2 linked regions of the Rattus norvegicus genome follow. The protein of the gene in region 1 binds, or shares a complex with, the protein of each later gene. Links are inferred from orthologs where the notes say so. Each region holds a gene or a part of one and is shown in the gene's direction. Other genes may lie near its edges.

Region 1 (3,827 bases):
CGAAAAAGGAGGCACTGACGGTCGCCGTGGGGCATGCAGTAGAGCTGTTGAGGTCTGTCTGTCCTGTGGGAACACTCAGTGCACAGCCTGTGGAATTGGCCTTCCTAAACTATTTTTTTTAATTATTTATTAATTATTTTATAAGTACACTGTTGCTGTCTTCAGACACACCAGAAGAGGGCATCGGATCCCCTTACAGATGGTTGTGAGGCACCATGTGGTTGCTGGGAATTGAACTTAGGGCCTCTGGAAGAGCAGTCAGTGCTCTTAACCACTGAGCCATCTCTCCAGCCCCCGGCCTTCCTAAACTATTTAGTGTTCAGAATTGGGCTAGTTAGTCAGGAAAAGTAACTGATGATAGGAAATGTTTACCAAGAGGCCAATATGTAAGACAGCTGACAAGCATCAACTTGGCTGTGTCACCCAGGGCAGCCTTGAACTGGGCTCAAGTGATTATCCAGCTTCAAACTCAAACTGGGATTGCAGGGACCCATTGGTGCGCACAACTTAGATGTTTTAGGATACCTAGAAGGAGCTGGGCATGTGTAACCCTAGCACTTGGGGCAGGAGGACCAGACCAGCCTGGAGTGCACAGGGAGACCCTGTGACTAAAACCAAAGCAAAATGAAACAAAACACGGAAAGCCTCCTGTCGTGGTACTTTCCACAAGTTATCGTCCAACGGGTTGAAAACTACCAGTCTATGGATTCTTGTTTCCTCCCCCAGTTTGTAATAAGTGTACTGGGATAGTAGATGTTTGTGCTGTTGTGTGTGATGTTAACATGGGTTCTCAATGTCATATTGCCTTGCACAGCATGTACTTTTACCTACTAAGCTGTGTGTGTGTGTGTGTGTGTGTGTGTGTGTAAGAAGGGGGATGAGTATATATATTATATATATACATATACACATACATATACATATATACATATACACATACATATACATATACATATACATATATATATATATATATATATATATATATATATGCACCACAGTATACATAGAGAAGTCAAGGGAGTCAATTTTCTCTTTCCACTATGTGGTCCAGTACAAGCTTTAGCCACTGAGCCATCCCCTTGCTGTCCCCCTCAGAGATGGAGTAATATTGCTGGGCCCTGACAGCACACTTCTTCAATCCCAGCACTTGTGAGGCAGAGGCAGGTAGATCTCTGAGTTTAAGTCTAGCTTGATGCACAGAGTGAGTTCCAGGACATCCAGGACTGCACAGAGAAACCCTGACTCAGGAATGAATGAATGAGTGAATGAATATGGGTTGTTACTGTGTATCCAGGTTGTCTTAGTAGCCTAGGCTGGGCTGGAATCTATGCTCTACCTGCCTTAGCCACTTAAGTACTAGGATTATGGTGCGAGCCAGCTAGGATGATGTTCTTAGTGAGTGGCAGGTGAGTAGAGCTCTTTCTGTCTGCTGCCGTCAGTTCTCTAGTGTTATTTCTGTAGGACTTGGAGTCAAGTTCAGTGATTTACACATATTTTCCCCTCTCTCCCTCAGATTTGGATCATACAGCTGATGTCCAGTGAGTATAGCAAGAGTCATTCTTGAAAATGTCTTTAGAATGAATGCTTTAATTTTTTTAATAAAAAATTTAACTATGTTTAAGATTTATCTGATTTTCTTGTGCATGTGGACGTTTTGCCTGTGTGTATATTTGTGTACCATGTGTGTGCCTGAAGCCCAAAGGATCAGAAGAGGTTATCAGGTGTGACTGGAGTTATAAATGGATATAAGCCACCATGTGGGTGCCGAGGCTAGGACCCAATACACTTAGGCACTAAGCCATCTCTCCAGCCCCTATCTTTTCTTATATATTTATTGTTTGTTTGTTTATTTGTAAGTACACTGTATACTGTTGCTCTTCAGACACACCAGAAGAGGGCATTGGATCTCATTCTACAGATGGTTGTGAGCCACTATGTAGGAGCTGGGATTTGAACTCGGGACCTCTGGAAGAGCAGTCAGTGCCCTTAAACACTGAGTCATCTTTCCAGCCCCCCAGCTCTCCATCTTTTCTTTTTTGAGATAGGATCTTACTGTGTAGCCCTGGCTGGCCTGGAATTTGTTCTATAGACCAGGCTAGCCTGAAACTCATAGAGGTACACCTTCCTCTGCCTCCTGAGTGTTGAGATCAAAAGTGTGCCCCCAGCGTATGCTTACATTTTATTTTGTGGGCTGGGTGTGTAAGACATGAGTGCCACCGTGTATGGGCAGAGGTCAGAAGTCAGTTCTTTCCTTCCACCACAGTGTCAGGCTTGATGGCAAGTATCTTCACCTTCTGGCCCGAGTGTATTTCTGTTTTTCTCCTTTTATGTGGTTGTTTTAAATTTGAAATGATGGTTTAAAAAATGTAATTTGGGCATGGTTAAATTAGGCATTTAGTTTATATTTATGAAACTGATTTTCTTTTGCTTCATTGTGGGATTTTTCTGTCTTGTAGTTGTGTGTGTGCAAGGCCCCTTTTATTGGTTTAATTTAAACTCTTTAACTTTAGGTTACATGCATGGGGAGACACCCTGGAGGAAGCATTTGAACAGTGTGCCATGGCCATGTTTGGTTACATGACAGACACCGGGACTGTGGAGCCCCTCCAAACAGTGGAAGTGGAAACCCAAGGTAAGTGCTCTATTCTCAAGGAAAAGTTAAGGCAGGAGAGTACATTATTCTGTATGATCTGAGTATAGAGTGGCCCTCAGTGGATCATGAACGTTGCTAACATCACCTGTCCTGGTCCCTTTGACCCTGTGTAGGAGACGACTTGCAGTCTCTGCTGTTTCACTTTTTGGACGAGTGGCTTTACAGGTTCAGTGCCGATGAGTACTTCATACCCCGGGTAAGCACAGGGTTTTCTTGGGTTTTTTTCCTGAGCAAGTAGACTGTTAGTTCACATTTTAAAAAGGTAAGGCATGGGATCCAAAACCAGTCCATCGAGATATGTGAGGTAATGTTGAATTATATAAATTCCAGGGTTTTTAATAGAATTTTTTCTTACATTCACACCCTCTTTTTTTTTTTTTTCTTTTTCTTTTTTCTTTTTTTTTCGGAGCTGGGGACCGAACCCAGGGCCTTGCGCTTGCTAGGCAAGCGCTCTACCACTGAGCTAAATCCCCAACCCCACATTCACACTCTTTATTTACAAGCTCCCACACATGGAAAAGCCAAATGTTTTCTTTTTAGTTTATAGTTGTTTTGCCTGTATGCATATCTGTGCACCAAGTACATGCAGTGCCGATGAAGGCCAGAAGAGGGCGACATGCCCCTGCTACCAGACTCACAAACAGTTGTGACTCACAGTAGTGCTAGGAATCAATTCTGGGTCCTCTGCAAGAGCAGCCAGTGCTGTTAACTGCTGAGCAGTTTCTCCAGCTCCGTGTAGGTCCTTATTGATTGATTAACCTGTTAGACTAGGTTCGTTCTCTCTCTGTCTCTGTCTCTGTCTCTTTCTCTCTCTCTCTCTTTCTCTCTCTTACTTACATCTCTGGCTGTGAAATGTTGGATATCACTAAGAGGTGGAGAGAATATTTATTGAGCCAGCATGATGGGCACGCTATTTATTATACCACTCGGGAAGCAGAGGCATGAGGAACTCTGAGTTCCAGTCCAGCCCAGTTTGCCAAAAAAAAAGGGGGGGGAGGGGGGAGGAGAGGGGAGGCGGGGCAGTGGCAGTGTGGAGGTGGGGCAGTGTGGAGGCGGGGCAGTAGGGAGGCGGGGCAGTGTACCTGTGAGCTGTATTCATGTCCACATGTCCAGTTGTTGCCTTTGAAGTTTAGTGCCTCTGTCACTTGGCCCTAAGTTCAACAATTGATTT
Region 2 (3,302 bases), on another chromosome or scaffold:
GGAAACTCACTCTGCAGACCAGGTAACCTGGACCTACAGATACCAGCTGGTCTGCTTCTGGCTCCCAAGAATGGGGATGAAAAGCCTAGGCCACTGTGCCTGACAGAATTTAGTATTTGTGACATAACTTCTGTGCATTTAAAAATGTTTTTTAAAAGTATAATCTAACTATATGAACCCCTGTGCCTCTCTGCCCTCCAGTGCCTCCCATGCACGCCCCACACCCTGTGCGGGAACCCTTGCTCACTGTCTCCAGTCCATGCCATCTTACTGTGTGGCTCTGACTAGCAGTGACATTGCAGTCTGGCTGACTCTTTGGTTGCTTTGGTGAATGGTGAATATTTTGTTTCTTCTTCTGTTGGATTCCTCTTGGCTGTGCCAGGACTGGGGCAGGGCTAACATCCTCCAGAGTTACCTATGGTCTTTCACTCTGTCATGGGTATGCAGCACAGAGTATGTCTGTGGAGGGTGGAAACTTCAATGCTTCCCTTAGTTTATCCTTCCAAGTATTGTTAAAAGCACAGTGAGAGGCATCGGTGTTTGTGTGCATGCGCTTGCATACACGCTTATTATTCCTCATCCAAAGTGCTGAGTTTTAAATGATATTTAATAAAGATTTAGGTTACAGTATTTTTAAAATTAAAGATTTCAATTATATGTGTGTGTGTGTGTGTGTGTGTGTGTGTGTGTGTGTATTATATAACACACACACATATTTTGTGTCCCTGTGCTTCTACTGCATAAACTATGATATCATTTATAGAACTTTTCACTGTGCCATCATGTTGGTGCTTAAAACATTTTGAACTGTGAAACATTTCGCATCTTGTATTGAGAGTTAGGATGTCTATGCTATAATAATATATAGTACGTGTATCACTGACCTAAACTCTTTTCTCTTAGGGAAAGAGCAACCTAGTGGGTCTGGTCAGTTTCAGGGACTTCTTGAAGCAATTTAGGGTCATTTATATCCTTTATTAATGAGCTCTCTATAGAATGGAATATTTCCCTATGGGAGAAAATGGCTACAAACCATATTGGGATTGCCGTTGTGCCTAACTGCACACTATATAGTCTTTATATGTTGGTAGACTGCAGTGTACCGAGGAATGCAGTCTTATTTGATAACCATTACCAAATCTATCGCTGTGGGATGTCCAGAGTTTCTCATTTATAAATAGATGAATATGAGGTTGACTAATGTAGGTTAAACAGTCTGTGTCTTAAAAACATTTTGTTAAAATAGTTCTTAATGTAACAAATACCACACTTACAAATTCTGCTAAACAAATTTAAATGAGAGAAGACTGACAAGACCAACCTTTAAGAATACTGTTTTAGTTTGTTTAAAAGTGATACCATACTCTGAAGGATTTGTCAAACATTGCACTTACATTTTCAGTATTAGTTCATACCATGTTCAACCCTTTTCTGTTATTTAAAAGATTTGGCCTCTTTATTTATAAATAACTTTAATATCACTTAAAATCTTTGTAATTTTTAACTTTGAAAAATAAAACTTAAAGAAAACTTTTTGTCTTCACACAGGTGCTTATGGGAAGGGTTCCAGACAGGGGAGGACGGCCAAATGAAATTGAACCACCACCCCCTGAAATGCCCCCTTGGCAGAAGAGACAAGAAGGCGGAGGGAGGGGTGGCTGGGGAGGTGGAGGGGGTGGTAGAGGAGGTGGTGGGGGAGGAAGAGGTGGATGGGGAGGTGGAGGAGGAGGGTGGGGAGGGGGTGGAGGAGGAGGTGGAGGAGGAGGTGGAGGAGGGTGGGGAGGAAGCGGTGGGGGAGGGGGTGGCCGAGGAGGTTTCCAAGGCAGGGGAGATTATGGTGGGAGGGGAGATTATGGTGGAAGAGGGGGCTATGGTGGGAGAGGGGGTTATGGTGGGAGAGGTTATGGAGATCCGTATGGAGGAGGAGGTGGTGGGGGTGGGTATAGAAGATACTGATACCTGCAGATGTTAGAGAACACTGCTTCCTACTAGATGCAGTAGATATAGTGTTCTGAGGAACATACTTGAACATCACCCTGAGGTAGATCATGTTAGTGCCCCCGAGGAAGGCTTTCCTGAATACAAAAGGCCATTTTATATACTGGGTGATGATCCTGCAACATGATTTTTTTCCATATTCTGTGTACTAAAGCATGCTGTGTCTTTTTAAAAGGCAAAAACAAAACCTATTTTTTAAAATGTAAATATTTATTACCAGCAACTTGGAAAAATGGAATGTATTTTATTGTCATGTTTGAATTTAGACTGTAAACTGGTATTTTGTTCAGGGTTGAAACACATATGACACCTGCCAGTAACAGAAAGGAATCTAGACTCGAGTCGTTTGTATTCTTGGGGATCTGTCCTGTATTGTTAATTCTATTTTACAAAATAGAGGAAGTGTCTAATGTGTGTGTAGTCAGTTGTCCTTTTTAAAATTGGTTGAAATTCCTCTGGTCAGGTTTTTATTAAATTTCTGTTAACTGAAGACATCTTCTTTATTTCACTGTGCACATGACTTATTTGCCAGTTGAGTTTGAACCTATGTGACTGACTGAATGGCTAAGTTAAAGTTGTATGACCTAGAGGTGGTGGGTACCTACAATGAAACTTGTCTGGACACAGCAGGGCAGTTACACACACAAACTCACAGCAGCTGTGACAGCACGCACACAACACATAACTTTGCAAGATCAAGCCAGACAAAATTCTACCCTCTCCCTGAGGGAGACGCTGGGGGAAGCTGAGTCAGGATGTGGGACATGAGTTTACCTATGATCTCTCTAGTAGATGTCCTAAGGCCCATGCACACAGACACAGCACTAAGTAGACTCAGTTAAAAAGCCAGAGGCACATGAAGTTGAGAATAAAAGTGTGCGTGCACATGCATGCGTAGATAGACGACTCTGGCTGGCCTGAGCGCAGCAGGCATGGCTCTGCATGCCTTGCCTTTCTCTCCCATTCCCTCCACCTTGCTAAAAGCTTAAGATTCTGTTCCTGAAGCTTGCTACCAAGGTATGTTTCATTTATTTGGCCACTTCTTCCTCTGAGGCTGACTACGAAGGTCCAGCTATCAAGGTAGTGAAGTCCAGCAATCAAAAGCCCCCTTTGGGTCACCTAATTAACCTGTCCAACTAAAATTAAACACCTCATCCTAACACGGGGTTTCCCCTTTACCTTTATAAAGTGACATTTTCCTATGTGTGACGTCTGTCTTTTCTCTATCTGAGGCAGTCCTTTGTCCTCCAGGACAATGCCCCTACCCCTCTCCATGTTCCCATCCCTTGCTTTTCATCCTCTAT

Evidence for each region. The genes of interacting proteins can lie anywhere in the genome.
Region 2: Zbtb8os (region 1) and Fam98b share a complex: the UniProt entries of both Homo sapiens proteins name them as parts of the tRNA-splicing ligase complex. The link is inferred for Rattus norvegicus from reciprocal best matches to the Homo sapiens genes ZBTB8OS and FAM98B.

Annotation. Positions count from the first base shown.
Region 1 is NC_086023.1:146,963,067-146,966,893, forward strand, and holds part of Zbtb8os (protein archease), read left to right. Parts: intron 1-1,516; coding exon 1,517-1,541; intron 1,542-2,513; coding exon 2,514-2,635; intron 2,636-2,769; coding exon 2,770-2,852; intron 2,853-3,827. UniProt on the Homo sapiens protein: Component of the tRNA-splicing ligase complex required to facilitate the enzymatic turnover of catalytic subunit RTCB. Together with DDX1, acts by facilitating the guanylylation of RTCB, a key intermediate step in tRNA ligation.
Region 2 is NC_086021.1:124,615,775-124,619,076, forward strand, and holds the end of Fam98b (protein FAM98B), read left to right. Parts: intron 1-1,548; coding exon 1,549-1,956; 3' UTR 1,957-2,501; downstream 2,502-3,302. UniProt on the Homo sapiens protein: Positively stimulates PRMT1-induced protein arginine dimethylated arginine methylation.